2 linked regions of the Stegostoma tigrinum genome follow. The protein of the gene in region 1 interacts with the protein of each later gene in a biochemical or structural test. Links are inferred from orthologs where the notes say so. Each region holds a gene or a part of one and is shown in the gene's direction. Other genes may lie near its edges. The genes, in order: rxfp3 and relaxin-3-like.

Region 1 (10,652 bases):
TCCAGCTGCATCTTACCATTCACCATTTTCAAAGCAACTTGCCATTTGGCAGATGTTCCAGAATTGACATGCCTTGCTTGCAGCCCCAACATATTTAAAAGCCCAGTGTGCACCTGGACAAGCACTGTCAGTCAGAGTTGCCTTGCATGGTTTCTGAGGTTTACCCAAGTCATAGCAGACAAGGGGACAGTGACACATAGCTCTTTAGGCAGGGACATGAATATCCTGATAGATGGCGTGATGCAGACACGGAACTTCCTCCTGCCTGGGACTAACAGTGGAGGTCATTACACCACAAATCTGGACAGTACAAATCCTGCATGCCCTCGATAATACCTACATTCACTTGTGACATCTCTCCACCGAAATCATAAGTAGCAGCTTTGCCACTCGCTTATTTCTCTCTTAGTACCTGCCTTGCTCTCATTCCAGAATAAAAATAACCTCCAATATGGCAGAAATGGTCAGGATAGGGGATAGACTGCTCAGCCCATTTGGTTCCTCAGCATCCTGACTCGAGTGCTGACTGACTACTTCGAGCCCCTGGACCAATATTGAAAACTGCTCTTGGCTTACTATGCCAGGACTCCTTGTAATGAAAGTTACCTTCCTTAACTCGACTGACAACTGAGATGGAGATAGTAGGAACTGTGGGTGCTGGAGAATCTGAGATAACAAGGTGTAGAGCTGGATGGACACAGCAGGCCAAGCAGCATCAGAGGAGCAAGAAGGCTGGCATTTCAGGCCTGGACCCTTCTTCAGAAAACAAGCTTCCTTCTTTTTTGTATGTGCTAAATGGAAGGCAAGGCAGAAGTAAATGTTTCTGGTAGCTCTGGCTGAGGTGTCAAAGCTCAAAAAGCAAGGCAAGTTAATACAAGGCAGAAAATCTGTAAGCATCCGGAGTGTGGGATCATCTAATTAAGACAGAGTTGAGGCATTTCTTCTCTCAGAGGGTATTGAATCTGAAGAATGCTTTAATATAGTAAATAAAACAACCTGCAGACCTCTGCGGTAAAGAACAAGAAAGACTTTTAATCAGCAAACAAGTGCTATGAAGAAAGGGCAGGCAAGTGGAGTTGGTGATAATTGGATATGTCATGGTCTCACTGAATGGTGGAGCAGACTGGATAGGCTGTATAGTCTAAGATAACAAAGTGTAAAGCTGGATGAACACAGCAGGCCAAGCAGCATTTGAGATGCTGCTTGGCCTGCTGTGTTCATCCAGCTTCACACTTTGCTATCTTGGCTTCTCCAGCATCTGCAGTTCCCATTATTTCTTAGAGGCTGTATAGTCTACTTCTGCTCTTACATCTTGTGGGTTTCTGATCTTAATTCAGTATGAGCAAGCACACAACCCTGTAAGCTCGACTGATAATCTTTAGTTTGCTCTCAGTGTAAGTCTTAGCACACTCCAGATTGTTTCATTTCCACATTCGGACATGATGTTTTACAGTTAGCAAGCCTGAACGGCTGACTATCCTCCGCCTCTGCCGCATCTGCTCCCACGATAAGACATTCCACTCCCGCACATCCCAGATGTCCAAGTTCTTTAAGGACCGCAACTTTCCCCCCACGGTGATTGAGAACGCCCTTGACCGCGTCTCCCGCATTTCCCGCGACACATCCCTCACACCCCGCCCCCGCCACAACCGCCCCAAGAGGATCCCCCTCGTTCTCACACACCACCCTACCAACCTCCGGATACAACGCATTATCCTCCGACACTTCCGCCATTTACAATCCGACCCCACCACCCAAGACATTTTTCCATCCCCTCCCCTATCTGCTTTCCGGAGAGACCACTCTCTCCGTGACTCCCTTGTTCGCTCCACACTGCCCTCCAACCCCACCACACCCGGCACCTTCCCCTGCAACCGCAGGAAATGCTACACTTGCCCCCACACCTCCTCCCTCACCCCTATCCCAGGCACCAAGATGACATTCCACATTAAGCAGAGGTTCACCTGCACATCTGCCAATGTGGTATACTGCATCCACTGTACCCGGTGCGGCTTCCTCTACATTGGGGAAACCAAGCGGAGGCTTGGGGACCGCTTTGCAGAACACCTCCGCTCAGTTCGCAACAAACAACTGCACCTCCCAGTCGCAAACCATTTCCACTCCCCCTCCCATTCTCTTGATGACATGTCCATCATGGGCCTCCTGCACTGCCACAATGATGCCACCCGAAGGTTGCAGGAACAGCAACTCATATTCCGCCTGGGAACCCTGCAGCCATATGGTATCAATGTGGACTTCACCAGTTTCAAAATCTCCCCTTCCCCCACTGCATCCCTAAACCAGCCCAGTTCATCCCCTCCCCCCACTGCACCACACAACCAGCCCAGCTCTTCCCCCCCACCCACTGCATCCCAAAACCAGTCCAACCTGTCTCTGCCTCCCTAACCGGTTCTTCCTCTCACCCATCCCTTCCTCCCACCCCAAGCCGCACCCCCAGCTACCTACTAACCTCATCCCACCTCCTTGACCTGTCCGTCTTCCCTGAACTGACCTATCCCCTCCCTACCTCCCCACCCACACCTTCTCCACCTATCTTCTTTACTCTCCATCTTCGGTCCGCCTCCCCCTCTCTCCCTATTTATTCCAGTTCCCTCCCCCCATCCCCCTCTCTGATGAAGGGTCTAGGCCCGAAACGTCAGCTTTTGTGCTCCTGAGATGCTGCTTGGCCTGCTGTGTTCATCCAGCCTCACATTCTATGGTTCCTACCGTGCTTGTTGTGAATGCCTGGAGGCATTTGCTGCTCTTTGAGTTCTGCCAGTCTTTCCAGTGTAGCGTCACACTGGCACTGAAATACATACATCATGTTATTCATTTAGATGATGAGCAAAATGTCTTTTTAGCTTTGGGGCAGCATCCAGTTTGCGGTTAACACTGCTCAAGTTGCTACAGTATAGTAGTGGTGTATTAACTAGCTTCGCCGTTTCTCAAGTTTCTGAGAAATACTTCTCGGATGACGTGAGGTCGGTTGGTAGTGGTGGTTAGGGGAATGTCCAATCGGGGCTGGAGATGGGTGCAATGAGGCAATGGCAGGTAAAACAGGGTGACAGGTGCCTGCTCTGGCACATGGGAAAGGGCTTATTGTGATGAAGTTGTTAGTGGTGGGGGGAAATGATGGTCGAAATCTAACCATTTTTGGGTAGTAGGTTAACAGTAGGCCCGGCAGCGCTCAGTTGGGAAGGGCGGAATAGTGTTCGGTGGATGAAGGGATCTTATTTGTCAGGCGTCCGGTGGTTGAAAGGGATTGAGGTAGGTGCAGTTAGGGAATAGGTGTCAGATTAACAATTAGGTAGGATTTGGAGATAGTAGGAACTTCAGATGCTGGAGAATCTGAGACAACAAGGTTTAGAGCTGAATGAACACAGCAGGCCAAGCAGGATCAGAGGAGCTGGAAGCTGAGGTTTCGGGCCGAGAGCCTTCTTCAGATTTCTGAATTTCAAGGCCCGAAATGCCAGCCTTCCTGCTCCTCTGATGCTGCTTGACCTGCTGTATTCATCCAGCTCTACGCCTTATTATCTTAGGTAGGGTTTGGAGTAGGTTTTTATTGCCAAGATGCTGGCGTGGACATAATGGCCTGAGTGGCCCTTGTTTAGTAAAATTCTGTGATCCTGGAATAGTGTAGGTTAGATGAGCTTCAGATCGGTATGACAGGTCGGCACAACATCGAGGGCCGAAGGGCCTGTACTGCGCTGTAATGTTCTATGTTCGTCTAACGTTTCCTGAGTTGCTATTAAGGTTAACTGAGTCAGAACTCTCTTATCAGACTTTTGTTTAGGGGTTGCAGGCGCAGTTGGATTGATCTGGGAACTTTAAATTACACCGGGCCATTCGCAAGGTGACCGCTGCGCTCGGAATTCAGCAGGGTCCTGACGCGCGGCTCTGCTGCCTGCAATGCTCCAACATTCTCCGGCAGTCGGAATATTGTCAACACATTCACTGCTCTCTCTACGGTCTTTTGTCGCGATAGTGGGAAGTGGTCATCCGGATCCAGTGCCGTTGATTCCCAAAGTGAAACGCTCTCACCGTCGACCTGGTTGTCCTCTTTCTCCAGGCGCTAACTGTGTCTCTTTCTGACCTCGTGTTGACCGGATTTTCATCGCATTCTCCCTCTGTCTTCCCCACCACTTTATCCAAGATTTTCATGAACAACTGGAGAGGCTTTATTGAGGGAAAAGAATGAAATAAGAACGGGGTGGGGTATGGATAAGCGTGAAGTCAGAATGAACAGACTATTTAAAAGTCTATTTAAAAATATCTAGATGCTGAGCGACACTCCAGTACGAAACTGTGTACACGTTGAAAAGAGGAGCTTGCAGGATATATGTCCGAACAGGGATCACTTGTTAAAACAAGGCTGGCTCATCAACTTTTAACAAAGATCTGCGGACCGTGGAAATGCCGAACTAAAGCAGAAATTGCTGAAGAGGCTCAGCAGGTCTTGGCGGCATCAGAAGGAAGTTGTGGGGATCACTGGATTCTCTGCACGGATACTGCCAGATCTGCTGAGATTCTCCAGCAATTTCGGCTCTTGTATCTTGTTAACTCGTTGTTTGTCCAAGTGGGAAAGCAAAGAGCACTGAAACGAAGCGACGTGGAACTCCAAAAAGAGGAGTGCATGCGATTCTAGCCGAATGTATTGTCCCTCTCCCCACGCCGCCACCCCACAAAAGTTAATCACTTCGGCAATAAATAGGTGGGAACACAAAGCTGCGGCCAGCGCTAACAATTTCTGTAACCAACTTCCAAACTCCGAAAGAACTGTGGATGCTCTAAATTAGAAAAAAATGAAATTATTGGGAAAGCTCAGGAGGCCTGGCAGCATCTGTGGTAGTTCTGAGGAAGGATCATTCGATTCGAAACGTTAATCCTGAATTTCGTCTCCACAGATGCTGGAAAACCTGCTGTGCTTTTCCAGCGATTTTGTTTCTAACTTCAAGATCCCCTCCGAGCCTCTGAGGCGGCACGACCCTGAAAGGATCCCGGTGTCGTTTCTTGGAAGGTGGTGTGCGGAGAGGGAACAGACCTCAATAAATGGTCATTTCTAACACCCAATCCCATTGTCTCTCCTGGCACTTCGCGGTGAGGTGACTGGCCGCGCCTTAATCTGAGGCGCGTAAAGAGCGAGCGGGAATCGCACTCTCTCAGTGCAGTAAACACCAGGAGATGCTGCTGCTGCTGTTGTCCAAACCGCCAGAAAACTGGAGCAGAGATTGGCGGAGGAGGTGGGGATTATTTGTAAATAGTTCTGTTTGGGAGAACGAGTCAATATTGCGGGCGGTGTATCCACTCTCTCTGGGCTCTCAGGCCGATGGAAATGCAGGGAAGGTGTGTGTGTGTGTGCTTTATGTGATCTCACTTCGTCTCCAAACTGAAACGTGAAGAAGAATAATTCGGGGGAAGATCCCAGGCTGGGATGGGAGGACGCAAGCGCAGAGCTGTGTCAGGGGGAGGTGATGGGGTGTATGTGTGTGCTGGGGGGGGGGGTGCTGTGGATGTGGATGGTGATGGGAGGGGGTGGAGTTTAGTATAAAACTGCCTGTTCTGGGCTCTGCCATGGACATTTCCCGCCTGAAGCTGACGGAGCAGGGAGTGCGCCGGGTCACAGCAGACCAGACCATGGGATGGACTTCGACCTCATCGCCAGCAACCGGACGGCGGCTGCGGAGCAGGGCTGCCGGTTTCGGCCCGTTAGCTTCGCCTGGCTCTCCGCCTTCAACCGGAGCAACGAGTCTCGGGCGGGGGAGCCGCTGAGCGGCGACTTGGAGGCGGGAGGCACTTCAGCCGCCGCCCGCATCGTCATCTCGGTGGTGTACTCGGCGGTGTGCGCTCTGGGGCTGCTCGGTAACGTGCTGGTCCTCTACCTGATGAAGAGCAGGCGGGGCTGGAAGAAATCCTCCATTAACCTGTTCGTCACCGGACTGGCGGCCACTGACTTCCAGTTCGTGCTGACCCTGCCCTTCTGGGCGGTGGACACGGCGATGGACTTCAGCTGGCCCTTCGGCCGGGTCATGTGCAAGGTTGTCTCCCTGGTGACCGTCATGAACATGTACGCCAGCGTCTTCTTCCTCACCGCCATGAGCATGGCCCGCTATTGGTCGGTAGCTTCCGCCCTGAAGCCCAGGAGCAAGATGAGCGGCTGCTCGGCCATGTGGGTCAGCATCGTGATCTGGATCTCCGCTGTGCTGGCCAGCATCCCGCACGCTGTCTTCTCCACCACCACCAGGATCTCCAACGAGGAGCTGTGCGTGCTGAAGTTCCCGGACCACAACGGCTCCGGTCAGTTCTGGCTGGGTCTCTACCAGATCCAGAAGGTGCTGTTGGGCTTCCTCATCCCTTTGGTCCTCATCACGGTCTGCTACCTGCTGTTGCTGCGCTACGTGACCAACAGGAATGTCAGCAGCTCCAGCGCCAGCCGGAGGTCCAAGGTGACCAAGTCGGTCACCATTGTCGTTCTGTCCTTCTTTCTGTGCTGGCTCCCCAACCAGGCGCTGACTTTCTGGGGAGTCCTGATCAAACTCAACGCCGTTCAGTTCACCTCCGAGTACTACATCGCCCAGTCCTACATCTTCCCCATCACCGTCTGCCTGGCTCACACTAACAGCTGCCTGAACCCCATCCTGTACTGCCTGATGAGGAGAGAGTTCCGCAAGGCGCTGAAAGGCATGTTCTGGAGGATGTCCTCCCCCACCATTATACACATGCGGCCCTTCACAGCCAGCACTAAGCCAGAACAGGATGAGCAGAGGCATGTCATCATTCCGAAAAACCCGGTCCAGCCGGAGATTTTGTATTACCCTCCGGGGGTTGTGATGTGCAACGGGCGATATGACATCTTGCCCGCCAACTCTGCGGAGCCCCGCTATTAAGGAGGCTGTGGAATGAGTTAAAATTGATCCGCTTTTCAGAAGAACGATATAGTGTAAGTCTGCCGAGGTTTAGCCAACTCTCAAGCCATTGTAGTTCGTCACTTTGCCATTGCAGTTCGATCGTTTCTCCAGACCAAATTGCTCTGGGTTAATCGTTGTGTGGCTGAAACAGCAGCAGTGCTGATCCCAAGACAAGCGGTGCGAGCATACAGTCATATCGGACACAGAATGTTAGCTATTTTCTTTCGCCACAGATGCGCCCACTGAGTTCCTCCGTCACTTTCTGTTTTAATGTTTATACGCGCCCCCTTAACAGCGAAATTTCCGAAGTTAGCCGCAATTGATTTTAACGCATAGGAATCCAGTTAATAGCAGAACCGCTAGGCGACAGTCATTACAGCCAAACATTATCCTATCCCGTGAGATTGTTGTGAAATAATAATCGGATTGGAACCAGGTACAGCTCCGTTTACTGTACAGCATCATACGCCACGAAGTAGGGCACTCGCACTTTTCAGAACAAAAATAATCGCCGTGTCTAGTTTGGAAACTTTTGAGTTCGATCTTCTAAATTAGTTTGTGGTCTTCTCGAACAATGAAAGGCTGTGAATGATCGTAAATATCATGACACAAACTCAAGTTGTATGTTTTCACTTAAGCAGGGTGACAAGTTGAACAGAAAATATATGAATTTCATTCTGTGAAAAGCGTAATTATTCGGCATCAGGTGAAATCACAGCATCTGTGTGAGAGGTTGCCACAGCTCCGGGAAGCCCTATTTGATACGGAATCGTTTTCACTTCAAATTGCAATCAATGTGCGCTCCAAATTACAGTTTATCTTTGGTTTGTCTGTCTTTTACGTTCATCCTCCTTCTTCAGTCTGAGGTACTCGTTACAAAATTCTCCATCTTCAAGTAATTCACCATTCGTATTCCACGTGACGATGAAAAATCTAAACGCCCCGACCTCTGGAGATTCTGATACAGTGCCATGTTTACTTTTCAGGATTCACTGTTCACAATAGTAGCTTTGCTAAAACTCCTCTTCTGCAGATATTATTTGTTAGAAATAAACCATTATACTCGCAAACTGCTTGTTTATAAAAACCAAAAGAAGTGCAGATGCTGTAAATCAGGAACAAAAACAAAGTTGCTGGAAAAGCTCAGCAATTCTGGCAGCATCTGTGAAGGAGAAATCAGAGTTAACATTTCGGGTCCAGTGACCCTTCCTCAGAACTGACCCTTTCTGAGGAAGGGTCACTGGACCTGAAACATTAACTTTGTTTTCTCCTTCCTAAATGCTGTCAGATCTGCTGAGCTCTATCTGCATATTTATGTTCCTTAATAATAATGTAGACAACAAAGATTCATGATTGAAAGATTGCACAATTTTGATTATTTTCATATTCACCAGTTTTAGCACTTATAATTGGAAATTAAAGTTATGAACCAAAACTGTGTTGTAAGTATTAACTACTATTTTTGCTAAATAGGTAATGATAGTGCTAAAATACTTAATTAATTGAGCATTACTATACTATTCATTTTGCATTGATGTAAAACAGTTTCAGATATACATTGACACATATCAGAATTAAAGTTAATATAATTTAAAAGTTGAGTTGATAATTTGACTGAAGTGCATTAGTTGCTCTAGAAAGTAGTTCTGCACTGTTTGGGTTTCAGAGTCATTCATGAAGAGCTACAGTCAACAATGGCAAAATACTAAATCACCAAATCATACAATGCAGGTAAAGGAAATTTGTTCACTCCTATCTATTTTATACTTACCCATTTAGTCCCACTCCCTTGTTTCTTATCTGTAGCTATGATTATGTTTCCTTTTCAAATATCTGTTCCTTTAACTTGAAGCCAGTGGTTCCTTTATGTCAATGAGGCATATTGCAACTTTGATTTAATCTGCTACTTTTGTACTGTCATAAATAGTTTTGAGTGCATAGTGAAGTTGCTAGTGCTATTGGAACTTCAGAGCTTGGAGCCAGTCTGACTTCAGAATGCAGCATGTCAAGCAGCGTGAAACCCTTTACAGGCACCTGGCTCAAACATCTCAGGAGTAACACCAGACAAAAAATTACTTTGGAGCTGGCTAAAGTGAATCATAAAAATTAACTCATATTTTCTATTCAACTTCCAGTTGCGTAAGAATCAAAAATTGAAAAGTACAGCTAAATAGATGTTAAAATGTGAGGCTGGATGAACACAGCAGGCCCAGCAGCATCCTGAGATGCTGCTGGGCCTGCTGTGTTCACCCAGCCTCACGTTTTATTATCTTGGATTCTCCAGCATCTGCAGTTCCCATTATCGCTAAATAGATGTTCCTTTCTCGACCATTCCAACTCAAAAAGAAATGCTGCTCGTGATTAAAAGATTTTACATGCATACTGAGAATTTTCCTGGTTTGCAATTTTTGGGAGCATTGTGTTTCAATGAACTGAATTTATCTGAACTTGTAATATTACTGTAGACAATGTTTAAAACAATAACAGTAAGTTGCTTTTATATAGCATCTTTTAGTAAAACTTGACAAGACACTTAACAGAATTGTTAGAAGACAAAGTTTGACACAGAATGTATTTGAAAGCAAGAAATTTTGTGGCGTGTAGTAAAGAAGAAAGAAACATAACTGAATAAATAGTTCAGTGAGGGAACTTCAGACCTTAGAGCTGTTGTGATCTTTGTGGGGAAGCCATAAGCACATTTATTGAATTAGTCTCAGTGGAAGAAGTTACTTACAGGACTCTACTTCTTATGCTTTTCTTTGTGTCACATGAATCAGAACCAACACTGCATCTTTTTGCTTTGCACAGAAGAACATTTGTTGAGTAAAATTATTTCTTACTGTCAGTTTTTAAATTTTACTGATATAGTTCTCATGTTCTACCTTATGTAAACCGTAACTCATTCAAAACTCTTCTGCTGTAACCTTACTCTCGCCAAGTCACCTTTATCCTTGCACTCACTGGCTCAATGGTTTTCAATCTAACAATAGCTCAAACATAAAGTTCAAATTTTGTACTCAAATCCAACCTCTAGAATTTCCTACGACATTCCAAGAATTCTCCTTTACGTTGATTTTGCCCTCTTCCACATCTCTCATTTTCATCACTCCAGCATTGGTTACTTCATCAGTTTAGATCTTGTGTCAACCTTGAGTAAAAGTAGTGTAGGGAGGAAAGTTTTTAATTTCTTTATCTGAATCTGTAATTCTTTTACAGAACGTTTGAAAGGATTTTGAGATATTTCATCAATTGTAAAGGAATCAATTGTGAATTTCTTGATAAATAAAATCCTAGTGACCTGAAGGGGCACCAATAGGAAGCTGTGTTGCTAAAAGACACAAAGGAGAGTTACAGACAAACGGAGCTACCAGCAGAGGAGCAGAAGGAGAGTCACGAAGAGAGTTACTTGCAGAGTAACTGGAAGTTGAAGACAATCCATGCACAGGTACAAAGACAGAGCAGACAAAGTTATAAACAGTAACACAGAGAATTCTTGTGAGGAGAAGCAGCAAATCAGTCTCCATACAAAGTTAGAGATAATGGGAACTGCAGATGCTGGAGATTCCAAGATAATAAGATGTGAGGTTGGATGAACACAGCAGGCCAAGCAGCATCTCAGGAGCACAAAAGCTGACGTTTCGGGCCTAGACCCTTCATCAGAGAGGGGGATGGGGGGAGGGAACTGGAATAAATAGGGAGAGAGGGGGAGGCGGACCGAAGATGGAGAGTAAAGAAGATAGGTGGAGA
Region 2 (11,318 bases), on another chromosome or scaffold:
TGTAGAGGGCTGTTGTAGGCTGCAGCAGGACATTGACAGGATGCAGAGATGGGCTGAGAGGTGGCAGATGGAGTTCAACCTGGATAAATGCGAGGTGATGCATTTTGGAAGGTCGAATTTGAAAGCTGAGTACAGGATTAAGGATAGGATTCTTGGCAGAGTGGAGGAACAGAGGGATCTTGGTGTGCAGATACATAGATCCTTTAAAATGGCCACCCAAGTGGACAGGGTTGTTAAGAAAGCATATGGTGTTTTGGCTTTCATTAACAGGGGGATTGAGTTTAAGAGTCTTGAGATCTTGTTGCAGCTCTATAAAACTTTGGTTAGACCACACTTGGAATACTGCGTCCAGTTCTGGTCGCCCTATTATAGGAAAGATGTGGATGCTTTGGAGAGGGTTCAGAGGAGGTTTACCAGGATGCTGCCTGGACTGGAGGGCTTATCTTATGAAGAGAGGTTGACTGAGCTCGGTCTCTTTTCATTGGAGAAAAGGAGGAGGAGACGGGACCTAATTGAGGTATACAATGAGAGGCATAGATAGAGTTGATAGCCAGAGACTATTTCCCAGGGCAGAAATGGCTAGCACGAGGGGTCATAGTTTTAAGCTGGTTGGTGGAAAGTATAGAGGGGATGTCAGAGGCAGGTTCTTTACGCAGAGAGTTGTGAGAGCATGGAATGCGTTGCCAGCAGCAGTTGTGGAAGCAAGGTCATTGGGGTCATTTAAGAGACTGCTGGACATGTATATGGTCGCAGAAATTTGAGGGTGCATACATGAGGATCAATGGTCGGCACAACATTGTGGGCTGAAGGGCCTGTTCTGTGCTGTACTGTTCTATGTTCTATGTTCTATATATAAGTATGCACAGCTGCTACTGAGTGTTGGTGGTGGAGCGAGTGGATGCATTCGGATGTGGTGCCAATTAAGCGGGCTGCTATGTCCTGGATGGTGTCAAACTCCTCGAATGGTGTTGGAGCTGCATCCGTCCAGGCAAATGGGGAGTATTCCAACATATTCCTGACTTGTGCTTTGTAGATGCTAAACAGGCTTTGAGGTGTCAGGAGATGAGTTACCGCAGTATTCCCAGCTTCTGACCTGCTCTTGTAGCCACTGTGATCATGTGGTGAATTCAGTTGTATTTCTGGTCCATAGTAACCCCAAGGATATTGTTAGGGGGAGATTCAGTGATGGTAACACCATTGAATGTCAAGGATGGTGGTTAGATTGTCTCTTATTGGTGATGGTTATTGTATTTTTGTGGCGCAAAAGTTACTTAAAGCTTTTCACATTTGTAACTACTCTGAGAATTCTGAGGCTCAATTTCCAGCGCACTACCCCTACGAGTTGTAACAACAGGACAAACCTGGGCAATTTTCTACTTTGCTGGGTAGATGCCAGTTTTGTGACTATACTGAAACAGCTTCGCTAGGCACTTAGTTGTTCTGGAGAGCACACCTTCAGTACTGTGATTGGAAGCCATCACCTTTGCAACGTCCAATATCGTCAGCTGTTTCATGACACAACATGGAGTGAATCGAATTGGCTGAAGACTGGCCTCTATGATGTTGGGGACCACTGCAGGAGGCCGAGGTGGATCATCCAGTTGGTACTTCTGGTAAAAAGTTATTATGAATGTTTCAGCCTTTTGCACTGATGCGTGGGGCTCCCCCATCATTCAGAATGGACACGTTTGTGAAGCCTCCTCCAGTGAGTTGTTTAATTGTTCACCATCATTCACAGCTGGATTTGGCAGGACTGCAGAGCTTAGATCTAATGTCTTGGTTCTCTCATCGTGATATTACAACACATGGTGCTGGGCACAAGAGGGCGGGTCTAACAGCAGCTCGAAGAAGTATACACATAATATCCTGAGATATGAAATCTATTGCTTTTTCCACACATGCAGCTTGACCTTGACCTGCTGAATAGTTCATCAATTTTGTTTTCCTCTCTTGATATTGTCATTGATGATCAGTTTATATCTTCAACCCTGCCTTGAGTGTACATATAGAAAAGAGGCTTTCTTCACAACTTATTGCTCTAACTGATATTCACACTGTGTTAGTTTAGTCTGATACTCTGCCCAAAAAACTCACAAGACAAGGAGTAACTTTTATTGTTCCTCCAATACACAGTTTTCCTTTCAGTATGTGTCCTATATGTCTGCAGTAAGCACCTCTCTCTCAAACACACACATTCCTGATTTTCTCTCCATCTGTTGTGCTTTCCTTCATTCTTTCTTTCCATTCCTTCTCTCAGGCTGCCAGCCCCTCTTTGGCTCCATACGCAGTTCCTCTTTATCTAACCTGTGTTTCGCTCTGAACTTTTACCTCTGTCTAATTCTCTGTCTTTCATAATCCATCTCTTTTATTAGAACATAGAATGTAGCACAGTTCAGACCCTTGGGCCCAAGATGTTGTGCTGAACTTTTACCTTAATCCTAAGGTCGCTCTAACCTCCACCCCTACCTTATACTATCATCCATATGCCTATCTAACAGCCACTTAAATGCCCCTACTGTGGCCGACTCCACTACCCTCTCCGGCAATGCACTCCACGCCCCGACCACTCTCTGAGTAAAGAACCTACCTCTGACATCTCCCTGATATCTACCTCCACTCACTTTAAAACTATGCCCCTTGTAATAGCTACTTCCACCCGAGGAAAAAGTCTCTGGCTGCCTACTCTATCTATACCTCTGATCATTTTGTACACCTCTATCAAGTCACCTCTCATCCTTTGTTGTTCTGAAGAGCAAAACCCTAGCTCCCTCAACCGTTCCTCTTAAGAACTTCCTTCCATTCCAGGCAACATCCTGGTAAATCTCCTCTGCACCTTTCCCAACGCTTCCACATCAGTCCTGTAACGAGGCGACCAGAACTGGACACAATACTCCAGATGTGGCCCAACCAGGGGCATTTGTATAGCTGGGGCATAACCTCACGGCTCTTGAACTCAATCCCTCTATTAATGAACACTAACACACTATACGCCTTCTTAACAACTCTATCCACCTGGGTGGCAGCTTTCAGGGAACAGTGGACATGAACCCCAAGATCCCTCTGCTCCTCCACACTGCCAAGAATCTTTCTGTTAACCCTGTATTCTGCTTTAAAATTTGTCCTTCCAAAATGAATCACCTCACATCTTTCAGGATTAAACTCCATCTGCCACTTCTCAGCCCAGCTCTGCATCCTATCAATGTCCCTTTGTAACCTAGAACAGCCCTCCGCACTATCCACAACTCGACCCACATTTGTATCATCCATGAACTTACTAATCCACCCCTCCACTGCTACATCCAAATCTTGTACACAAATCACAAATAGAAGGGGACCCAGAACAGATCCTTGTGGTACACCATTCGTAACTGAGCACCATGTTAAATATTTTCCGTCCACTACCACTCTTTGTGTTCTAAGATTTTATTGCTTGTTCTGTTCCTGTTTCTTTCACAATGAACCTCTGAGATTGCATGGTCCATTGAAAATATGGGATGCACAATGAATGTAAAGTCAGTGTCTTTTGTGCAAGCAATCTCGTGAAACCTGAACCCAGGGCAGAGCCAGCAGGCCATAGCGACTGTGCTGACGCTGAACATGAGCAAAATGGAAATTGATTCAGAGAACTCAGTGCTTGATGCCATTGCTGCATCTTGGAGCTTTTCTGGGTACTACAAAAGTTTCAGAGAGTTTCTTCTGGATATACTGGCTGTTCAGTCTAATGCCAACTCAAACATACTAGAATTCAAGTTCATGTTGACTGAGCCAGTCTCAGAGAGAGATAATTAATTCAGGATCCATAATTCTGGCAGATTTGTACTGGACTGAGAAAACATAGCGATGTTGGAGGGTCAGTGCTGAGGAGTCCCACACTGTCGGAGGGTCAGTGCTGAGGGAGTGCCGCACTGTCGGAGGATCAGTGCTGAGGGAGTCCCTCACTGTCGGAGGGTCAGTGCTGAGGGAGTCCCACACTGTGGGAGGGTCTGTACTGAGGGAGCACTGTACTCTCAGGGTGTCGGTATTGAGGGATCGCCGCACTGTCGGGTCATCTGTGCTGAGGGAACACTGTATTTTTGGAGATGTCACCTAATAAGGAAAGTCCCTATGTGAGTGATGAGGCGGATATTGAAAGCCTCGTGCTGTTAGTGGGAGCAGGGATGGGGGGATGTGATCTTTCCTTTGTGAATGCTGCTCCCACTCAATTTTGCTTCCAGTGGAAGTTTTTTCGACAGTATTCAGTCTAGAAAATGACAATGTTGTCGAGGAGAATACTGAGAAACAGGCTACTAGACTAGGTGGGATTGGTTCACAAGGAAGAGGTATTAGAAATCCTACAGAGTGTGAAGATAGATAAGTCTCCTGGGCCGGATGGGATTTATCCTTGGATCCTCTGGGAAGCCAGGGAGGAGATTGTCAAGCCTTTGGCATTGATCTTTAACTCGTCATTGTCTAAAGGAATAGTGCCAGATGACTGGAGAATAGCAAATGTGGTTCCCCTGTTCAAGAAGGGGAGTAGAGACAACCCTGGTAATTATAGACCAGTGAGCCTTACCTCAGTTGTTGGTAAAGTGTTGGAAAAGGTTATAAGGGATAGGATTTATAATCATCTAGAAAAGAATAAATTGATTAGGGATAGTCAGCACGGTTTTGTGAAGGGAAGGTCGTGCCTCACAAACGTTATTGAGTTCTTTGAGAAGGTTACCAAACAGGTAGATGAGAGTAAACCGGTTGATGTGGTGTATATGGATTTCAGCAAGGTGTTCGATAAGGTTCCCCACAATAGGCTATTATATAAAATGCAGAGGAATGAAATTGTGGGAGATAGAGCAGTTTGGATCGGAAATTGGCTTGCTGAAAGAAGACAGAGGGTGGTAGTTGATGGGAAATGTTCATCCTGGAGACCAGTTACTAGTGGTGTACCGCAAGGGTCTGTGTTGGGTCCACTGCTGTTTGTCATTTTTATAAATGACCTGGATGCAGGCGTAGAAGGATGGATTAGTAAATTTGCAGACGACGCTAAGGTCGGTGGAGTTGTGGATAACGATGAAGGATGCTGTAGGTTGCAGAGAGACATAGATAAGCTGCAGAGCTGGGCTGAGAGGTGGCAAATGGAGTTTAATGCAGACAAGTGTGAGGTGATGCACTTTGGTAGGAGTAACCGGAAGGCAAAGTACAGGGCTAATGGTAAGATTCTTGGTAGTGTAGATGAGCAGAGAGATCTCGGTATCCGTGTACACAGATCCTTGAAAGTTGCCACCCAAGTTGACAGGGCTGTTAAGAAGGCATACAGTGTTTTAGCTTTTATTAATAGAGGGATCGAGTTCCGGAACCAAGAGGTTACGGGGAAGCTGTACAAAACTCTGGTGCGGCCGCGCTTGGAGTATTGTGTACAGTTCTGGTCACCGCACTATAAGAAGGATGTGGAAACTTTGGAAAGGGTGCAGAGGAGATTTACTAGGATGTTGCCTGGTATGGAGGGAAGGTCTTACAAGGAAAGGCTGAGGGATTTGAGGCTGTTTTCATTAGAGAGAAGAAGGTTGAGAGGTGACTTAATTGAGACACATAAAATAATCAGAGGGTTAGATAGGGTGGATAGGGAGAGCCTTTTTCCTAGGATGGTGACGGCGAGCACGAGGGGGCATAGCTTTAAATTGAGGGGTGAAAGATATAGGACAGATGTCAGAGGTAGTTTCTTTACTCAGAGAGTAGTAAGGAAATGGAGCGGTTTGCCTGCAACGGTAGTAGATTCGCCAACTTTAGGTACATTTAAGTCGTCATTGGACAAGCATATGGACGTACATGGAATAGTGTAGGTTAGATGGGCTTGAGATCGGTATGACAGGTCGGCACAACATTGAGGGCCGAAGGGCCTGTACTGTGCTGTAACGTTCTATGTTCTATGAACAGCTCCCATCCCCATGACCCCCTGCCTGTCACAGGAATGCAGTTTGCCTCACCAATGGAACAGTTTGTTGTGTAAGGATAACAGCGTGAGGCTGGATGCTTGAGTGAGGTCTCCATTGAAAATGAAGAATTAACCCTTCCAAGAAGAGCTTGAGAGTGCATAGGTTAGAATTAGGCAAAAATTTTAAACAAAGGTTTGTGATAAAATGTATGACGTAAGCTGTGAGGTCTTAACATTTAATAAATAGCAACTCATCGCATGACTTTTTATTGTCAGGATTTTCCTTTGAATACTTTTATATATGATTAATATTTTCTTTGATAAGAACATTGAAGCTGTGCAGATCATATTAAACATTTAGTGTGTCTGTCTCCGCACAGGCAGAGACCTTTACAGCAGTTCTGTTGCTGATCATTAAACCATAAGCTCCTAATGTGTATTGTGACAGCTCAGTAATTACATCTGTTTATCAGATATGAACAAGGGTTTAAATAGAGTGGACTTTAAGTAAGGCAGGCACAGGCTCTAGCTTCAGCACTGGCACCGGGGATCCTCATTCTCGCTCCTCAACCTCTCTCTCTCTGTCTCCTTGTGCTCTCTATTCTCCCCTCACTCCTGCATCCTCAGTCTCACAGGATAAGAAAGACAGTCCACGTCATGCAGAGGTTTTGGTTTATCCTGGCCCTCTGGCTGGTCATCTCAGAGTTTCAGCTGGAGGCTAATGCTCATAAACCTGTTCTTGGAGTAAAACTCTGTGGGAGAGAATTTATCCGGGCAGTCATTTTCACCTGCGGAGGCTCCAGGTGGAAAAGGACAGGAAGAAATCCAGCAGGTAAGAGCTACCAGGGAACATTTTGCCTGTGCCACTGACAGGCAAAATAGCACCCAGCACAGCGCTGAGTGAACATCCCAGCAGATGGACTATCCACGAGTTACCAGATCCTAGTGGGTTACTTGCTAGTTGCCAGATCCCAGTGGGAACAATGAAAAGAAAAGCAGTGGGATTCCTAAAGGAGCTGTGATCCTCTCAGTCTCTGCCTAGTTAGCTGATGCTCATGCCCAAGTGGGCAGAGTGAGATCTCCCCCAGCATGAGATAGAAATCAAATGTCCAGGGCTGCCATGCAGCTGCAGCCAAAGCCCAGGTGGATCTCAGTCTGTGCTGTTCCAATGAAGGGGAAACAATTGGCACTGCTGAGAAGCTCAGAGCCTGGGTGGAACAGACAAAGTAAATTATCTTTCATTCACTCATTCACAGGATGAGGGCATTGTTGGCTAGGCCAGCATTTACTGCCCATTCCTATTTGCCTGGAGGGCAGTTAAGAGTCACCTACATTGTTGCGGGTCTGGAGTCACATGTAGGCCAGACCATGTAAGGATGGCAATTTCCTTCCCCGAAGGACATTAGTGAACCAGATGGGTTTTCCCAAAATTAACAATGGTTTTGTGGTCATCATTTGATTCCTAATTCGATGTTTGTTTTTGAATTCATCTGCCATGGTGGGATTCCTTCTCAGGTCCCCAGGACATTACCAGGGTTTCTGGATTCATAGTCCAGTGATAATGCCAAAAGTCCATCATCTTTCAGACAGTACTGCATCACAATTCTGTCATGTTTGAATTACACACTCATTCCAGTCCTGATACTTGTCAGTTCTGATGTGTCAGGACTGATGGTTGAAATTGAATTAGATTAGATTAGAATTAGATTAGAACATTACAACACAGTACAGGCCCTTCGGCCCTCGATGTTGTGCCGACCTGTCATACCGATCTCAAGCCCATCTAACCTACACTATTCCATGTACGTCCATATGCTTGTCCAATGACGACTTAAATGTACCTAAAGTTGGCGAATCTACTACCGTTGCAGGCAAAGCATTCCATTCCGTTACTACTCTCTGAGTAAAGAAACTACCTCTGACATCTGTCCTATATCTTTCACCCCTCAATTTAAAGCTATGCCCACTCGTGCTCACCGTCACCATCCTAGGAAAAAGGCTCTCCCTATCCACCCTATCTAACCCTCTGATTATTTTATATGTTTCAATTAAGTCACCTCTCAACCTTCTTCTCTCTAATGAAAACAGCCTCAAGTCCCTCAGCCTTTCCTCGTAAGACCTTCACTCCATACCAGGCAACATCCTAGTAAATCTCCTCTGCACCCTTTCCAAAGCTTCCACATCCTTCTTGTAATGCGGTGACCAGAACTGTACGCAATACTCCAAGTGCGGCCGCACCAGAATTTTGTACAGCTGCAGCATAACCTCTTGGTTCCGGAACTCGATCCCCCTATTAATAAAAGCTAAAACACTGTATGCCTTCTTAACAGCCCTGTCAACCTGGGTGGCAACTTTCAAGGATCTGTGTACATGGACACCGAGATCTCTCTGCTCATCTACACTACCAAGAATCTTACCATTAGCCCTGTACTTTGCCTTCCGGTTACTCCTACCAAAGTGCATCACCTCACACTTGTCTGCATTAAACTCCATTTGCCACCTCTCAGCCCAGCTCTGCAGCTTATCTATGTCTCTCTGCAACCTACAGCATCCTTCGTCACTATCCACAACTCCACCAACCTTAGTGTCGTCTGCAAATTTACTAACCCATCCTTCTACGCCCTCATCCAGGTCATTTATAAAAATGACAAACAGCAGTGGACCCAACACCGCCCCTTGTGGTACACCACTAGTAACTGGTCTACAGGATGAACATTTCCCATCAACTACCACCCTCTGTCTTCTTTCAGCAAGCCAATTTCTGATCCACGGAATCCGATATCAAGCCCTGTCAACTAGCTTTTCACAGTCTGTTCTTTCAGGCTTCCTGCCCTGGTTTTTGGTTGTGGGGAGATAGGAGGTTGAGCACCAACGTTTGTTCATTGCTGCTTTTGAGAACAGATATATTTGAAATGGGGTTCATGTGGCTGCACTGAGGCTTGTAAATAATGCAGAGATTCTTAAATGCATTTAGAAGAGGAACTGGCTGAATAGAACATCTGAATTAAATTATTGCTAGCTGATCCTGTCTGGAACAAGGGAAAATGCCACAGCATTCTTCTCAGAACTCTGGCTTCACAAGCAGTAAGTTTAACTGTGGGTCCCTCTCCAAATCGTTACCCACTGGTAAATCCTGCAGCCAAGTGTGTATGTTGAGAAAGATCAATTATAAAGTCACTTGTGATTGAATATTCTGTTAGGTTTCACCGTCCAGGCTCGCAGATGAACAGTAAGCTCAGCTGAGAGGACGGGTGGTTAGAAACCTGTCACAGGCTTGGGAGTAGCAAGCACATCCCTGCATCTCCCGCTGTATCTCAGTACTGACTGAATTGAGACAAAGATCAGCCACCTATCACTGAAACAAGTTCAATTCGATGATACCTGTCCTCAGATGTACTGCAGAAAATTTGAGATCCTGAAGAAAGAAGATCACTGCAAACCAGCTTTTAGGTTATTGAATTTTATTGGAGAAGATTTAATGATGAGTTGGAAAGGTAATGTTCTGGGTCAGGGCCCTTATTCAGAAAAAAGATATTTAATGATGAGTTTCCGTGTTATGGGTTGTGGTGTGTTTATCTTCCAGATATCTCTGAGAACCCTGACTACCTGGAGAAGACGATAAAAGACACCAATTTTGATGGCTGGCCTCTTTCAGAAGATGTCACCATCTATGAGCCAGAGAGTTGGAGAGTGCTGGTACGACTTGGGGGAGACAGCCGAAGCAGGAGAAGCGTTTCTGATGATGTCTTAGAGGCTTTGCGAAGCACCAACAGGAAGGGGAGGGATGTGGTGGCAGGTCTGTCCAGTGCTTGTTGTAAATGGGGTTGCACCAAAAGTGAGATCAGCTCACTCTGTTAGAGTACACCTCTACATCATCCACAACCTCCTGTACACCTCAACATACAACAGAAGCCTGAGGACTGGGGTGAAATGCGCAAATAGCTCTCTTGCCAAGATCTCAAGCCTCAGAGGCCACAAAAGCACAGTACAAATATCTGTGCATGATACAGGAACAGTGATCAAAATTGAAACCAGCAATTTGCACAATGCTGACTTGTTGACAGACAGGCATTGGTTGAAATGTTTGATGTCTTGACTAGAGATGAACATTTTTTTTGGTTTGCCATCAAACCTTCATTGTTCTTATTCAAGGTTACAGTCAAAGTTTTGATATGTTCCCATCATGTTTGTACAGTCTGCTTTTCATAAAAAATGTCTACAGCATCAAAACAGACTCAAGTTTCATTTTTCAATGTTAAAGTGGGAGCAATTCATTCACTTCCCATTGCAGTAAAATAATTATTAACCAGTCGCACTGTTCCCTAGAACCACACACACTGACTCACACTGGGGTACAGTCCCACACACTGACTCACACTGGGGTACAGTCCCACACACACACTGACTCTCACTGGGGTACAGTCACACACACACATTGACTCTCACTGGGGTACGGGGTCCCACACACACATTGACTGTCAGTGGGGTACAGTCGCACACACACACAGTGACTCTCACTGGGGGACAGTTCCATAAACACAGCGACTGTCACTGGGGTAAAGTCCCACACACTCACTGACTCCCACTGCGGTACAGTAACACACGCACATTGATTCTCACTGGGTTACAGTCCCAAACACACACTGACTCTCATTGGGGTACAATCTCACACACACACTGACTCTCACTGGGGTACGGGGTCCCATACACGCACTGACTCTCACTGGGCTACAGTCCCATATGCACATTTACTCTCACTAGGGTACAATCGCACACACACACATTGACTCTACCCGGGGTATGGGGTTCCACACACACATTGACTCTACCCGGGGTATGGGGTTCCACACACACATTGACTCTCACCAGGGTACAGTTCCACACACAATAACTCTCAATGGTGCACAGTTCCATACACACACTGATTCTCACTGGGGGACAGTCCCACATACATGTTGACTCACACTGGGGTATGGGTTCCCACACACACTGATTCTCACTGGGCATCAGTCCCACACACACACTCACTCCAACAGGGGTACAGTCCCACACACTCACTGACTCTCACTGGTGTACAGTCCAACACACACACTGACTCTCACTGGGGTACAGTCCCACACACACACTGACTCTCACTGGGGTACAGTCCCACACACACACTTGACTCTAACTGGGGTACACTCCCAGACACACACTAAACCTCACTGGGGTACAGTCCCACATACTCACTGACTCTCACTGGGTACCGTCCCACACATACATTGACTGTTACTGGGGTTACATTCCCACACACATACTAACTCTCACTGGGGTACAGTTCCACACACACACTGACTCTCACTGGGATACACTCCCACTCAAAGTGACTCTCACTGGGGTACAGGGTCCCACACACACACTAACTCTCACTGGC

The links.
Region 2: the proteins of rxfp3 (region 1) and relaxin-3-like form a complex in vitro, tested with the Homo sapiens proteins (2 studies listed by BioGRID, with this or other methods). The link is inferred for Stegostoma tigrinum from reciprocal best matches to the Homo sapiens genes RXFP3 and RLN3.

Annotation. Positions count from the first base shown.
Region 1 is NC_081354.1:149,600,153-149,610,804, reverse strand, and holds rxfp3 (relaxin-3 receptor 1), read left to right. Parts: upstream 1-5,590; 5' UTR 5,591-5,639; coding exon 5,640-6,884; 3' UTR 6,885-8,636; exon of another isoform or gene 8,637-9,090; intron 9,091-10,121; 3' UTR 10,122-10,521; downstream 10,522-10,652. UniProt on the Homo sapiens protein: Receptor for RNL3/relaxin-3. Binding of the ligand inhibit cAMP accumulation.
Region 2 is NC_081388.1:24,053,859-24,065,176, reverse strand, and holds relaxin-3-like, read left to right. Parts: upstream 1-6,445; 5' UTR 6,446-6,562; coding exon 6,563-6,737; intron 6,738-9,488; coding exon 9,489-9,763; 3' UTR 9,764-9,969; downstream 9,970-11,318. UniProt on the Homo sapiens protein: May play a role in neuropeptide signaling processes. Ligand for LGR7, RXFP3 and RXFP4.